Linked DNA regions of Saccharomyces cerevisiae S288C. Changing the gene in region 3 together with the main gene of any one other region gives a genetic interaction. Each region holds a gene or a part of one and is shown on either strand. Other genes may lie near its edges.

Region 1 (4,412 bases), on a different chromosome or scaffold from region 3:
TGATACCTGACATCAAAGGCGATATATACTTACTGGATGCCACTGACCTTTCTCAATGGGACACGAATGCATCTCAAAGAGCGATAGCTATTTCCAATGACTTTATTAGCAATCGACCCATCAAGCAAGAAAGGGCACCTAAAGCCCTAGAGGAGCTGTTGTCTAAAGGCGAAACTACGATGAAGAAATTGGACGATTGGACACATTATACTTGCAACGTCTGTCGTAACGCAGATGGTAAGAACGTTGTAGCTATTGGCGAAAAATATTGGAAAATTCATTTGGGTAGCAGAAGACATAAATCCAACTTGAAAAGAAACACTCGTCAAGCTGATTTTGAAAAATGGAAAATAAACAAGAAGGAGACTGTGGAATGAAAATATTAGGAAAAAGGAGTTTATCCTGAGTGTATATATCTACATAAGTGAAGCTGGGTTTTGATAATGGAAAGGGAGGATGACAAGCTCAAAATATACTTTATAGATGAATGAGGACAGGTATCATTGGTCTTCAAATGTCAAACTCTTATCAAGCCTAGCTTTTTCTGCTCTTCTTGCTGTATCATATTCCTGTACCTCATTGTACAGATTGCTGGTAGAAGTAATTAAATTTTCGTAAAATGCTGTGCCGGCACTTAAATTTTCTTTCACCTCATCAAGCAGTTTGAAGGAATATCTCAGATCTTCAATATATAGCTCTCTGGGATCTATTCTTACCATTTTCTTTGGTTCAATCCCGCTTCTGCCGGGGTTATTCTTCTTACTTAGGTTTACTTCCTCAATAAGTTTGATATTTTCTTCCTTTGTACTATTAACGTATCTTAAATCTTCGTCAAAGTATTTTAAATGGCCTATGAAAATGGGTTCAAAGTCGACTGTTCCATTTTTTTTATACGATGTAATGATCTTTGGAAGTATTCTATATTCTGAAGATTTCCGCCTCGTCCTATCAATATAATCATTTCTTTCCTGTATGATCATCTTAATCTTATTCGTTAGAGGATCATTAGATTCCGGTAACCTGATCTCTGATCCAATCAAATTTTTATCGATGCTTTGAAATAGTTCATTTGTTTGTTTGTCAATCGCACTACCTTCATCAAGGTATCCTCTCAGCTTTTTTAGTTTTTCATAATATGCTGTGTTAGTAGTTGAAGATTCGGGTAAAGTCCAATTTAAGGTTCCGTGTTTTAGTCGGAGCTGATTGTCAGTAAATGCTTCTTCATTTAAAATTTGCTCAATGTTATCGAGTTGTACCTGCACATTTTTATTATTAATGAGAAGATTATTCAGTGATGCCTGGTAATGACTCAGTTCTGCTTCACTCACCTTTGTAAGCCCTTGTGGTATTTGGAAAGTAGTCAAGGACTCCTTCAATAGTTTATTTAGGGAAGCAAGGGGATTGGTAACACGTTGTTCAACGTATTCATCTTGCCTTTCATTGTATGCTGTGCAATATTCCATCACTTCTATAGGGATTAGGTCTTTGAATAAAGTCTCATCCTTTTTAATAGAAGGCAACAATGTTGCTGAAGAAGATGGTTTAACCATGAGAGCTGGTTTGATCGATGGTAATTCCGAAGGAACTTCTTGTAAGTAGATGAATTCATTGTCTCTTTGGGCTTCTTTCAGAGAAGATTCGACAACAGTTTTAAACTTAGCTTGCGAAGATAGTGTTGATTCATTTATAAATTGCAATCCCATTTGCAGAGCTTTCACAACATTTCCGAACTGCTTCTTCTCATTAAAAGATAAGGCTATTCTGTAATAAGTCACCGCACTAAAGTAAGCCTTTTTAGCCTTTAAGTGGTTTATCCAATCACTTCTAATAAGTTTCCCCCTTTGGGCGTCATTAATAGCCTCGCAGTAGAAGTCCACGATCTGTTGTGACAACTTCGCGATTAAGGAGTCCTTGTGTTTATCTTGCACGGCTTTAAACCAGAAGCATTCTTGCGCTTGTGCTAGCATCAGGGAGGTTAAAGCGTTCAATGTGGCGTCATCTACCACTGGGATTGTCTCAAGATTTTTTTGGTGGTCTAAAACATGTTTAAAGCATCCGGCGGCATTCTGGAAGTACAGACATGACGTTTTGAGGGATTCGGCTGCATCATTGTTGCTATTTAGAGCCAACAGTGAATACATGCAACCAATATTATAAATAATGGTTAATTTTTCCCATTGTAATGAGTATTGACTAGTACCACGAGATTTTTGTGATAGCGTTTGAAACCATGTAAATTCTATTTGATTATTGGGAAACTTTTTCTCTAATTGCAACAATATTACATAGTATTCCTTCAGTGCAGAAAGACCGTCGATTGAGATATCGGGTGCAATCGCATTGTTTCTTGCATCAACAACTTTGAGTATGTCTGATTGGAAAAAGGATGCCGTTTGAAAGGAAGTAGTATCAATTAGTTTTGACAACTCCGTGGCAAAGTCCACTTCTAAAGTTCGCTTAAGTGGAATGGCAAGCAGTTCACTCATGTCACACTGCCTGGATCTCCATAGATAATAATACTCTCTCTGCAAGGGTATAGTAGTGTTTTAATAAGGCTTTATAGTCCCTTTTCTTATGCTATATTATAAAGCCGGGTAGTAGCGAGGCTTGAATATCTCTTTTCCTGGACGAAAAATAGTGAAAAATTGGAAAAAGTATTTGGCGTAAAGCATATTCTACCGATTGCGATAGACATTATTTGAGCTGTAACCTGAATATAGGATTAAGAACTTTTATTTAATTTCACGACATGATCAAGTATACTATCGATGAGCTTTTTCAACTGAAGCCAAGTTTAACTTTGGAAGTTAATTTCGATGCGGTGGAATTTAGAGCCATCATTGAAAAAGTTAAGCAATTGCAACACTTGAAAGAGGAAGAGTTTAACAGTCATCATGTTGGTCATTTCGGTCGTAGAAGATCTTCCCACCATCATGGTAGACCAAAGATTAAGCACAACAAGCCTAAGGTTACAACCGATTCAGATGGTTGGTGCACATTTGAAGCCAAGAAGAAGGGTAGTGGAGAAGATGATGAAGAAGAAACAGAAACCACACCAACTTCTACTGTGCCAGTTGCTACCATTGCCCAAGAAACTTTAAAAGTCAAGCCAAATAACAAAAATATTTCTTCCAACAGACCTGCTGATACCAGAGATATTGTTGCGGACAAGCCAATTCTTGGTTTCAACGCATTTGCTGCTTTGGAAAGTGAAGACGAAGACGACGAAGCATAAGTCATTCGCTCATGCTTTCTTCAGGCAGCTGTACGTGTACTATGTATAAATTTTGAATAACATTTTTTTTAATAAACAGTTTTTACTCTTTTAGGTTACTTTCCAGATTGAAAATATACAACGTGGTTACATAAAGAAATTAAAATGTAGAACGAATCATGACCAACTGTATCAGGTGTTTAAAAAGGCGAGGTGAAAGAGAAAGGCTTCCCCCTCTAATATCAACAGCTGGAGATACATCTTTCTAATAATTAATCTACCATGAGCCGTACGCACTGAAGCAACGCCCATCAAACATCCGAAGCCACATTATGAGTACAAAAGAGGCTGACGTTAATAGGAACTCATGGTGTAATTTTGCTTCACTTTTCTGAATTCAAATGGAAATAGAAGTAAAAATGGGCAGAAAAGTTACCTCATGCTTTAAATATACTCAACTTTTCTCTACCGACAGTAGGAGCCCTAAGAGATAAAGCGAAAAATTTTCACAGCGCGCTCCTTGGTGCGGCGAGGGTATAAAAGGCGATTTCATTTCAATTCTTTGAACTTACTTCATTTGCAGGATCCTTCAGGATAAGAAAACCATCATTCAATAAACTGATCTTCCGGATTACCATGCTTAAGACATCACGCCTCCATATGTCTATATAAAGCGCAAATGGCTGGAAGTAGACCAATTTTTTTTGTTCCTAGCTTTTCATTATTGAAATCTAATCCAGTTTTAATGGTTTTTCTTAATTAAGAAAACAAATTATCATTGGTTCGCTCTAGGTGTACATATCTTCACTTCATTACTCTCTTGTTTACATTGTATACATCGTACATATACTTCAATTATGGAAATACCATAAATTCTCTTAGTGTGTAGTTCACTAGTTTTTGGGGTTGGGTTGTGCTGTAGTCAGCTAAGGCGCTTTAGTGAACTTTCTAGTGAGTTTTTTGAATTTTAGTGTCAAAGGATAAGGAAACAGAAAGGTAAAATAGACCTTGCTCGAGAGATGTCTAGTCGTAAAAAAGTCAGAGTATTACTGCTCAAGAATAAAACTGTCCCCATTGATAAATATGAATTGGAGTGTAGGAGTAAGGCGTTTGAACCCATATTCGTACCGCTTATTAAACATACACATGTAATTCAAGATTTTAGAAATGTTTTGAATACCATCCCAAACTATTTGAA
Region 2 (3,777 bases), on a different chromosome or scaffold from region 3:
GAACCAGCTCGCCGTGCACAAAGTAATGGGCGGAAGTCTGTACAAGAACTCATTCTTTTGCATATTGAATAAAACTTTTTTATTTGACGGAGAAAAAGTTTTGTTATTTTTTTGGTGGTGGTCAATGGAAGGCTTAATGTACGACCAAACTTCTGGAATATATTCTTTGACACATAGCATCAGTACCCCTTGGTCGATGTTAACACCTTCTAGATTGATATTATGCACCCCCGGTAGGTATCTTGAAGTAATAATCACTAGCATCCAAAAGGCCCTTTCCTCGTCTAAAAATAACAATAGCAAGCCTGCAAGAAAGTTCATAGATTGACAATAGCCAATCTTCGGATTGTAGAGAGAGAACGCAACAAGCACCCGGCGTAAAGATTTTATAATCGGAGGTCCCTCTTTGTTATGCAAGCTACTTTGGAAATGTATATTGTCCGGAAATGTTCTATTCAAGTCACGTTCAATAATATCCAAGTCTTGAACTTGTTTTTCATTAGGGTTTTGTTTCTTGATCTGCTTCATCTTTCGTAAAAGTTGTGAATAGACGCCTTTATTCTTGTTTAACTTCTCTTGCCCTCTAGCGAAATGCCACCATGCATTTCCTCTCCATTCCGCTGGAATGCCCTTTCTGACATACCTTTTTAACCGTTCACTCTTTGATGGAAATCGTGAAGGAGAATCATCGGTCACTGGCAACCCACTTTTCTCCAACAGCAATTGCCATTTGTGCTTACGGCGAACGCAGTACTGCGAATATTCTACCCACCACTTATCGTATTCTGCTTCAGATATGTAATTATTCTGTTTTTTGAAACCGTATCGATCAAAATGGGTATTGTTGATTCCATTGGAATTCGCACTTGTGGCACTAGCGGCACCCTCCAATTCTACACGCTGACGGTTGTCATCATCAGGAACCAAATCGAGGTCATCACTGTGCACTTCCTCCAGATCTTCGTTACCATTATCGCCATTATTATCATCATCATCCTCTCCTTCGGCACGTTGGGATTCCACTTCGTCTCCATACAGGTCAATAACGCTTAAATTCCCATCATGTTCAGAGGGGGATGCTTGGCCCAAACAACTTGGTTCCACAGAGCGATGATCATTCGCTCTAAAGCTTCCGTTCACCAGAGCTGAGTCGCTAGAACTATGATCTGAATGCATTTTATCATGAAAGTTAGGAACAGACGGTGATTTCACCGTAAATGCCCCTCCTAGCCTTTTGTATGGATGCGCCAGTACCGTCCTATTTTGCAGGGAGAACCTCTGTTGATCGTTCTGCATGCTAATTACAATGGTTCTGGGTGCGCAACTCTTTGACTCCTACAAAGCTTCTAGATGTCCCTTTAGCTATTTTTAGCTACTTTCTTTCTACGTGACATAAACGAGGTTTGATCCTGTTAATTCTGATACTGCCCGAACAGAAAAATAGCAGCTATTGAAAGAGAAGATGGAACCCGTTGTATCGGCGAGTAAAGATAAGTACTTTAGAAGAGCAACCCACATCGTTTAGTTACAAGAAAGACAAAAGACTGGTACTACAGATTCGGTGTCCTTTACCTGTTTTCTTCTTTCCTGTGCGCACTTAATCAGTCATTTTAGACTATCGTTTTTAGTAGCACATAAGGAGGAAGACACTCGATGAATAGTCGATTCTGCAAACATGAACTTGTGGAGACATAGTCCAGAAGAATTGGCTGCTTACAATAGCTGTCATCCAATGAAGCTAGGTTCAGGGGTGCTGATACAATTGCCTCTTTATGACAATTCGGCAGTATATGCAGAAGATATTACTTTTAGGAGTTTCTGCTGTGAAAGAGTGCCCGTTTATGTATCTACGGTGCTAAGAAACTCTTCCCCATATAGGTATCTTGATGAGGTGATCAATGACTGGCAAAAATTCATTCAAGTAAGCGATTATGTCGGCGGTTCTGCTGAGTATGCGATTTATGCTGTGATTTTGTCGATAACTTCTAATTTTGTCATCACAGTGTTCCTGACTGTGATATGCTGTATAAATATCAGCGGGCGCGCATATAAGAGAATTCTACAACTACTGAGGATAGCCTCGTTGTTAGCCTCGTTGAACTTAACGATTTTTATCACGAAGGTGTTGCGGAGATTGGAAAAAGAGCACAATGTCTATGGTGTCGTTCGGGCTCATTCCATTATGCACATCTTTTCCGATGATATGACATTTGTTGTCTTGGATTTCTTGGCTACTTTAATGTTCCAATTTTGCCAAGTCGGCATTGTCATTAGGCTATTTCAAAGAGCTCAGGAAAAGAGAATAATTTTTTTTATTGGGGTGATATTAACAATAACCGCAAATATTTTATGGGTAATTCCACCGTTTGCTAACCATACTACAAAACACAGAAATGACTGGCAGATTCTGCGGCCATTTGTTTACCTTTTCCGTATTGCCATCGCCACGTCATATGCATCAATCGTCATTTATCACATCTGGCAGAAAAAAAAATTGTGGTTTAAATTCAATCAAATGGGTTTACTTACGCTATTGACTATTCTTGTGGTGCTTCTATTACCGGGTTTCTTCCTTGCCGATGTGTCGAACTTATGGATATCGGAACTGGGTGAAGTGTTTAACACGACATGCTATGTCACTTCGACCGTGATCACATGGGAGTGGCTGGATAGATTAAATGTTTTGGAAAGAAAAGAGGAAGCGCAAAGCATTTTGGGAAGACCTATCTTCGAGGAAGAGCAACAAGACTATCGGTTTGCCAAGTACGCCTTAAGGGTTCAAAACGCTTTAACCAGGAGGGAATCTCAGGACGCATCAACGGATCGGCACGATACGTCAAGTAATTCGGAAGTATGTGATTTACAGACCATATCACGCTACGACCCAGAAGATCAGATATCAGTGGGCAGAAGCATTGATCGAATGCATTTCAATGATAGGGGAACTTATAAAGATGTAGCGCTGAAGAAATTAGGCTATGCGCGTGATAAAATTTTATACTTTACAGACCAAATCGTCCAGAAAAGCGTAGGCCACAATAATAGCAGCAGCTCGAAAAATGAAAAAACCAAACAGAGAAAGGCCATGGTCAGGAAACGGTTGGGATTAGACAAACCAGGCATATACATTTATTCGACAAAGGATGTCGTTTTCAATTCAGATGAAGATGACGATGAGAACGCGGAAGATGAAGATGACGATGAATATGAAGTTGGCAGTGAAGGCAATAACAATAGCTCTGCCACTTTTACCAGCGACCATATAGGCCATATTTGAAGGACACAGCAGAAACAGTATTACAACAAACCTACATATTTATATATTCCATGCATGCTCAAGATGCATATGCATAATATTTACACGAATTGCGAATATGTCACATAATAGAGCAGTGGATAAGTACTCAATGCAAAATCACTCATAGTAGTCCCATTCTTCAAATGCAGTTTCCAATAATTGTGTATTCAAATTAGTGGGATACCTCGTATACCTCACGCCGCTCCTAGTAACAACATACTTGTCATTGAAGCTGACTTGAACGTCCTTATGTATAGTCCTCCCCCAAAAGGTATTGTGCCTCTTGGTGTATCTTAACCAATGCATTCTCTTGAAATTATGAATCGGACTTGGTTGAATAATACAATCTACGCCATCTTGGAAAAAATATGTGGATGGTACTTCATCTGATAACCGCACTATGATTTTTTCAATATACGCCTTGATTTTGTTTTCAAATTTCTTAGAGTCTCTGGAATTTGTTAAAGTTGACAATATCG
Region 3 (8,406 bases):
CTAAAGCTGACTTGAAGGATAGAACAAACACATTTTGCGGCACCACGGAATACCTGGCACCAGAATTGTTACTGGACGAAACCGGCTACACCAAAATGGTCGATTTCTGGTCTCTAGGTGTTTTGATATTTGAAATGTGTTGTGGTTGGTCCCCTTTCTTTGCGGAAAATAATCAAAAAATGTACCAAAAAATTGCCTTTGGTAAAGTCAAATTCCCCAGAGACGTACTGTCACAAGAGGGGAGGTCTTTTGTAAAGGGTTTACTAAACAGAAACCCCAAACATAGACTCGGTGCCATTGATGATGGAAGAGAACTACGAGCTCATCCATTTTTCGCAGATATCGACTGGGAGGCCTTGAAGCAGAAAAAAATTCCACCACCTTTCAAACCTCACCTAGTCTCGGAGACGGATACCTCGAATTTTGACCCAGAGTTCACAACAGCTTCAACTTCATACATGAACAAGCACCAGCCGATGATGACTGCTACCCCGCTATCTCCAGCCATGCAAGCAAAGTTTGCTGGTTTCACCTTTGTTGATGAGTCCGCCATCGATGAACACGTTAATAACAACAGAAAATTCCTACAAAACTCGTACTTTATGGAACCTGGTTCCTTTATCCCGGGAAATCCAAACTTACCTCCAGACGAAGATGTCATCGATGATGACGGGGACGAGGACATCAATGATGGATTCAACCAAGAGAAAAATATGAACAACAGCCATTCGCAGATGGACTTCGACGGCGACCAACACATGGATGACGAATTTGTCAGTGGAAGATTCGAAATATGATTTCTCAATCGCTCCTCTTGCCCTTCCTCTTCTTTTCCTTTTCTTTTTATTTTTTTCTAATTTTTCTATCTTTTATTTCTACTTCTATTATTAATTTGTATCTTCTAATCGTTTTTCCCACTTTATCGAAACATTTCTTCTATTTATATATGTAAAGTATGTATGTATTTTCGTTTTATTTAAACTCCAAAAAATGAATAATTGTTCCTGCAAATTTCTAGTTTATCACGTCTCATAATCACTGCTTATACCTCACCATTCCATTGTACTTTGACATATTTACCCCTCATCTATATATAATCAGGGCTTAAGTAAACGCTTCGCTGTGATTTCCCAAAGTCGGTTCGGAAATTATAGGTCGGTTATATCATCCGAAAAAAAAAAAAAAAAAGTTTTTCTTAAATGCATAGGTTTAAAGTCGATTAAAAGTAGGGCTAACACAAGTATAAGCAGGGTTTTGCTATAATAGGGATGCCATAAGTGAGGGCAGGGCTCATCGATGCGCGTACATGGATTTTCCGAAATTCTGAATTTTTTCTTTCTTTAACTATGAGCAAAATGTGGTCAGCTTTACTGAGCTTAACTGTCATCCCATCGAATGTGACAAGATTGAAAGTGCTTCCAGGATCTGAAACATTTGTCAAAGTTTTACTAACATTACACAGATATCCCTGGTCACCTTACTATCTTCCAACATCTTACCTAGGCTTGCTGCTTTTGTTTGGGTCATATATTTAACTCGCTCATTAGAGGACATTCTGTTTTTTCCAAGACCAACAAAAAAGCAACGAAATTGCTGTATTATTAAAGGACTGTTATAGAAGTTTTTTTATCCTCTCTTTGTTTCCATTATTCTTATTCCTATTTTTTCGTTGCTTACTTTTGATATCCACTATGAGCTTTTCCACCATAAATAGCAACGTCAATAAAACCACCGGCGATAGCAATAATAACACCACCGAGAACAGTTCGACTGCAGACCTTTTAGGAATGGACTTGTTGCAGAGCGGGCCTCGACTGATGAACACGATGCAGCCAAACAACTCTTCTGACATGCTGCACATTAACAACAAGACTAATAACGTTCAACAACCAGCTGGAAACACAAATATCAGCAGTGCTAATGCGGGAGCAAAGGCTCCAGCAAATGAGTTCGTAAGAAAACTGTTCAGGATACTGGAAAACAATGAATATCCTGACATTGTAACTTGGACTGAGAACGGCAAAAGTTTCGTCGTTTTGGACACAGGAAAGTTCACTACGCATATATTGCCTAATCACTTCAAACATTCAAATTTTGCATCTTTTGTAAGGCAACTAAACAAGTATGACTTTCACAAGGTTAAGAGAAGTCCCGAGGAAAGACAGAGATGTAAATATGGCGAACAAAGTTGGGAGTTTCAGCATCCAGAATTTAGAGTCCATTACGGAAAAGGTCTCGATAACATCAAAAGGAAAATTCCGGCGCAAAGGAAAGTGCTTTTGGATGAATCTCAAAAGGCTCTTTTGCATTTCAATAGTGAAGGCACTAACCCCAACAATCCTTCTGGGTCTCTTTTGAATGAATCCACCACAGAGCTGTTGTTAAGCAATACCGTAAGTAAAGATGCATTTGGAAATCTAAGAAGGCGAGTAGACAAACTACAAAAGGAGTTGGATATGTCCAAAATGGAGAGTTATGCTACTAAAGTAGAACTACAAAAGTTGAACTCGAAATACAATACGGTTATCGAAAGTTTGATAACATTCAAGACCATAAATGAAAATTTACTCAACAACTTCAACACTCTGTGTTCCACTTTGGCAAATAATGGTATTGAAGTGCCAATATTTGGCGACAATGGAAACCGTAACCCAACTGGTAATACCAACCCAGCAACAACAACAGCTATCCAAAGCAACAACAACACCAACAATGCTTCTCCGGCAACATCTACAGTTTCCTTACAACTACCTAATTTACCCGATCAGAATAGCCTAACACCAAATGCTCAAAATAACACAGTCACGCTACGAAAAGGTTTCCATGTACTGTTGGTGGAAGATGACGCAGTGTCTATACAGTTGTGTTCAAAATTTTTACGGAAATATGGCTGTACTGTCCAAGTTGTCAGCGACGGTCTTTCAGCTATCTCAACACTAGAGAAGTATAGGTATGATTTGGTTTTAATGGACATTGTTATGCCAAACCTAGATGGTGCCACAGCGACATCCATTGTCAGAAGTTTTGATAATGAGACTCCCATCATTGCCATGACAGGTAACATTATGAATCAAGACTTGATCACATACTTACAACATGGAATGAATGATATCTTGGCCAAACCATTCACGAGGGATGATTTACACTCAATTTTAATACGTTATCTAAAGGACCGTATTCCTTTATGCGAACAGCAATTACCACCTCGCAACTCTTCGCCACAAACTCATTCCAACACCAATACTGCTAATTCGAATCCTAATACGATTAATGAACAGTCGTTAGCCATGTTACCACAAGATAATCCGTCAACTACTACCCCTGTTACCCCAGGTGCCTCTATATCTTCTGCACAGCATGTTCAACAAGGTCAACAAGAACAGCAGCATCAAATTTTCCATGCTCAGCAGCAGCAGCAGCATCACAACGCCATTGCTAATGCTAGGTCAGACGTAGCCATACCGAATTTGGAACATGAAATCAACACTGTACCACATTCCTCAATGGGTTCCACTCCGCAATTACCACAATCTACACTTCAAGAAAACCAGCTATCATAAAATTTTACAAATAGCCTTGCGTCTAAGTTAGCAGAGGACATTCTGTATTCCTGAGGAGTTTCTTTATATTTATTATGTGATCTTGGAGGATTATCATTTTCTTTTCGTTCAATATTTTATCCCCTTCAGTTATTTCCAGTTATCTACATCAAAATGTTTGAATTTTATTTCTTTCTGCCGCTCTCAAATTCACTCTCATTTCTTTTTTCTTTGTTTTTCTTATATTTACTATATATATATATATATATATATATATATAGCCAAAAACAATAACAGACACAGTAATTTAGTATGCGTTTATCTCTTATCTTTCATCCACTGCGACCGAAACGTTTGAATCGAATCTGACTGAGGTTTTTCTTACATTCCCTTGTGTATCAACAGTTTCTGGTATGTCTAATTCAAATTCTTTTCCATTCTTCAGTATTTCTTTTAAATCTGGCTGGGCCTCTCTCATGGAAGATTTACGATTACCAGTTGATTTCTTAGAGCCATCTTCACTACTATCATTGGAATCTATTTTTTCTACTCCTAAATTAGCATCCGCATTCTTTTTCTCTAGATTTGGAACTCTTTCAAATGTAGATAGTTCATTTTGACAGCGGTCACACTGGCATAAGAAGCCCCAGTTAACTCTTAATTCCCTACGCCTCAACCTCACCCCATGTAAGGGATTGACGTACGTAATACGTATTTGTTCCCCCTTCTTTATTGGTTTCCTTGCATGCAACCTCAGTTCCTCATGTTCTTCTACTTGCTCAATATAGGCGTTTGGTTCACAATCATGGTTTATGAAGGAGATCCAATGATATACCTGGCCGTTATATTGATTGATATTGAACGTCCCGATCATGGTCAAAAATTTCTCGAAATCTATTTCTTCAGAAGCTTTTGGAAATGCACCGCAAAATAATTCGTAGCACTTCTCCCAAACAGTCTCGTCATCAATATTCTTCTCAACGCCCTTTTTGGTACCATTATCAGATTCCTCTTCAGTATGTACAGTTGTACCATTCAGTAAACTAAACGTACTGCCGATACCGCTGGCGTCTCTTAATTTAATTCTTTCCCTTTGTGAGATGCTTGCCAATTTTTGCCATTGCTCTTTGACCTCTCCTGTAGTATCCAAAAGCATGGATCCATATATAAGACCAACTGAAAAGGCAGCGGTAAAACAATATTTCTCACAGTAGTTAACAAATCTTTTCCAATTACCAGCATGAAGAATGTCTATTCTATTCGATCTCCATGAGTGGTATAAAAGCTCATGTAACGACGCATGTGCTTTTTTACATTTTTCACTGCACCAAATAGCTTTGCAAACTTCACAATCCAAATAATGGACCATAATTTTGTGCTGGGTCAAATCATATAGCGCCTTACCACATCGAGCACATGCCTTTCCATTAGATATTAAAAAAAGCTTGTCCAGTGGTGGAATATATACGATAGGTTTATTTTCTTTCAGGATGATTTGGCCCTTGGAAAAATCTCTTTTAGCGAAAAGGCCCCTTCCATGTTCGTCATCAATAAATTTCACTTCGACCTTAGCATCAGAATCTAGGGCTTTTGGAAAATGTATTTTATCTTTATATAGAGAAACGGTCTCTAGATCTGTGTCATAAAGATGGTGCTCATTTAGAATTTTTCGAAAACGAGAAGCACTCAATTTCCACGATTGATTTCTTTCCGTAATCCTGTCATAAAGATGCTGAATCGTAGCGTCTTCAGTTCCGGGCTCTTCCTTCCATAACAAAACTACGTCATCACAGATCTCTTCCTCTGTGGGAGTTATCTTTCGAAAATCAGAGCCATTTTCTGTACCATTATGCACTGCAGATTGATCGCTATCGTTTAAGGTTCCTATTTTGATAGTCAATGTCATTTTTGTGCCACTTTTCGTTATTTTGTATCAGTGCACGCTTGGTTATTTACCTATTTAGCTTCTATTGTTATATGGAGAAGTTCCCCATGATTATGATATCAAGAAAGAAAAAGAAAAAGAAAAATAATACGAAAAAAAAAATTACGAAGCTAAAATAAAAAAAATTACGGCAAGGAAAGGGTTTACTGATAAAATTTGTTATCATTCTTGCTAGTCAGTAAGAGCATATCTGCTCAAGTAGACAAGGGAAACTATCGCAGGTGGTCCGGAAAGTACTTGACAATCAAATGCTCGTCTGAAAGCCAATGAGGAAAACTTGTAGACTGTACTAATTTTTCAAGAGAAAGAAAGATACCGTATGTTTGACTATTCTAACGAGATTTATGCTACAAACTCCTCGAGAAGCAAACTGAGGTAGAATTACCCACCCACAGCGCGATAAGTCACATTGGCGCCCTGGACTTGACGAATACTCCTATCAATAGTAAGGCTCGCAAACCGCCCGTCCATATCAAGCCATTAAATTCTGTTATTATCCTTAAAAGTGAAATGCGCACCACAAGCTTGATGGCATTTCCTTCTGCACTTCTCAAATTGATAGCATTGCCTTGCGAGCAGTAGATAATTTAGATAAAGTGTATCTTGCCAGGGCCTTCCCAGGCATTAACTAGATAATGTGTTCTTTTTTAGCTGAACTGTAAAGCGTAAATGTTAACGCTGGATAAGTACCGCGTGTACGGTTGATTGAATGATCTTACTGATAGAGGCCAGGCGGTTGATACTTTGTGCAGATTTCATACCGGCTGTCGCTATTATTACTGATGAATTGGCTCTCTTTTTGTTTAATGGCCCATCCGATCCATATTGCCTTCTTATGACTCAAAATTCTATTGTGTTTGCCGGTACCGGCCTTTAAGCTTTGAAAAAAAAAAAGCATCTGAAAAAAATGGCACTATAAAGAGAGCTAGTGGTAACAACTACATGTTTTCGTTAGAATAAATCACCCTATAAACGCAAAATCAGCTAGAACCTTAGCATACTAAAACATGTTGCAGAGACATTCCTTGAAGTTGGGGAAATTCTCCATCAGAACACTCGCTACTGGTGCCCCATTAGATGCATCCAAACTAAAAATTACTAGAAACCCAAATCCATCCAAGCCAAGACCAAATGAAGAATTAGTGTTCGGCCAGACATTCACCGATCATATGTTGACCATTCCTTGGTCAGCCAAAGAAGGGTGGGGCACTCCACACATCAAGCCTTACGGTAATCTTTCTCTTGACCCATCTGCTTGTGTATTCCATTATGCATTTGAATTATTTGAAGGTTTGAAAGCCTACAGAACTCCTCAAAATACTATCACCATGTTCCGTCCGGATAAGAACATGGCCCGTATGAACAAGTCTGCCGCTAGAATTTGTTTGCCAACTTTCGAATCTGAAGAATTGATCAAACTTACCGGGAAATTGATCGAACAAGATAAACACTTGGTTCCTCAAGGTAATGGTTACTCATTATACATCAGACCAACAATGATTGGTACATCCAAGGGTTTAGGTGTTGGCACTCCCTCCGAGGCTCTTCTTTATGTTATTACTTCTCCAGTCGGTCCTTATTATAAGACTGGTTTCAAAGCCGTACGTCTTGAAGCAACAGACTATGCTACAAGAGCTTGGCCAGGTGGTGTTGGCGACAAAAAATTGGGTGCTAACTATGCCCCATGCATCTTACCTCAACTACAAGCTGCCAAAAGAGGGTACCAACAAAATCTATGGTTGTTCGGCCCAGAAAAGAACATCACTGAGGTTGGTACTATGAACGTGTTCTTCGTTTTCCTCAACAAAGTCACTGGCAAGAAGGAATTGGTTACCGCTCCATTAGATGGTACCATTTTAGAAGGTGTTACCAGAGACTCTGTTTTAACATTGGCTCGTGACAAACTAGATCCTCAAGAATGGGACATCAACGAGCGTTATTACACTATTACTGAAGTCGCCACTAGAGCAAAACAAGGTGAACTATTAGAAGCCTTCGGTTCTGGTACTGCTGCTGTCGTTTCACCTATCAAGGAAATTGGCTGGAACAACGAAGATATTCATGTTCCACTATTGCCTGGTGAACAATGTGGTGCATTGACCAAGCAAGTTGCTCAATGGATTGCTGATATCCAATACGGTAGAGTCAATTATGGTAACTGGTCAAAAACTGTTGCCGACTTGAACTAATGATAATGAAGGTAAACATCCCCTCCCCCCCCAAAAAAAAAAAACGAGAATTCCTCTCAGAGGATCTGTTTTTCTCTCACTTTATTCACATAGATACATACTTTTTTACAATTCCTGTTGAGTTTATTTATTATAAGAAATATTGGATTACTATTATTATTATAGCTTATGCAAGCCATTGTGCGGCTTCTTACGCTTTTTGAAATTGTTGACCTAACAACTTGGCACATTATTGAATTTCATAGAGACTGCTTGTAATTTAGTTGCCAAGGTATCTCGCTGGACTTTACATGTAAAATGAATGCGGCAAGATACCCAAGAGAGTTGATTATGCCAAAAAAAAAAAATCTATAAGGATATCCCTGGTATTTTCTGAAGAATAAATTCTAGCGTAGTTCAGAAGAGGTGCAAGTACAGTATGAATAATGGTATGCCTTCCATCATCGTGGCATACAGGTTCAGGCATGAAGAGATGATTATGTTCCCTCACCGGTCCATAATCCTGATTTAAACAGTTCATTAGTATATGTTCAGCCAACACAACAACGAGAAGCTTTGTAGTGAAAGTTTTCCACGATCTATATTTAGCATTCTAATTAGCGGCCCCAAGGGAACGTATATAAACATAAACAAACGGCACGAACTAAAGGGGCAAATTCAAGTTAACCCTTTTACACTCAGTACATCTTCAAAGCCAGTCTTCTGTCAATGGAAGAATCCAGAATGCCTAAAA

The links. Genes that interact genetically often act in the same process or in processes that back each other up.
Region 1: mutations in SKN7 (region 3) and RIM20 together harm fitness more than expected from each alone (negative genetic interaction), as found in Saccharomyces cerevisiae (3 studies listed by BioGRID).
Region 2: mutations in SKN7 (region 3) and RIM21 together harm fitness more than expected from each alone (negative genetic interaction), as found in Saccharomyces cerevisiae (3 studies listed by BioGRID).

The regions. Positions count from the first base shown.
Region 1 is NC_001147.6:838,584-842,995, forward strand, and holds RIM20 (Rim20p), read right to left. Parts: upstream 2,487-4,412; coding exon 501-2,486; downstream 1-500. Other genes in the region: MOD5 (tRNA dimethylallyltransferase), read left to right, coding at 1-377; CAF20 (Caf20p), read left to right, coding at 2,750-3,235; uroporphyrinogen-III synthase HEM4, read left to right, coding at 4,234-4,412. UniProt on the Saccharomyces cerevisiae protein: Required for the proteolytic cleavage of the transcriptional repressor RIM101 in response to alkaline ambient pH, which is necessary for sporulation and invasive growth.
Region 2 is NC_001146.8:78,159-81,935, reverse strand, and holds RIM21 (Rim21p), read left to right. Parts: upstream 1-1,675; coding exon 1,676-3,277; downstream 3,278-3,777. Other genes in the region: Rab GTPase-activating protein MSB3, read right to left, coding at 1-1,296; MRX6 (Mrx6p), read right to left, coding at 3,416-3,777. UniProt on the Saccharomyces cerevisiae protein: Required for the proteolytic cleavage of the transcription factor RIM101 in response to alkaline ambient pH. Required for growth at alkaline pH.
Region 3 is NC_001140.6:511,041-519,446, forward strand, and holds SKN7 (kinase-regulated stress-responsive transcription factor SKN7), read left to right. Parts: upstream 1-1,691; coding exon 1,692-3,560; downstream 3,561-8,406. Other genes in the region: serine/threonine protein kinase SCH9, read left to right, coding at 1-797; SET5 (S-adenosylmethionine-dependent methyltransferase), read right to left, coding at 3,865-5,445; branched-chain-amino-acid transaminase BAT1, read left to right, coding at 6,492-7,673; CRG1 (S-adenosylmethionine-dependent methyltransferase), read left to right, coding at 8,397-8,406. UniProt on the Saccharomyces cerevisiae protein: Transcription factor that is part of a SLN1-YPD1-SKN7 two-component regulatory system, which controls gene expression in response to changes in the osmolarity of the extracellular environment.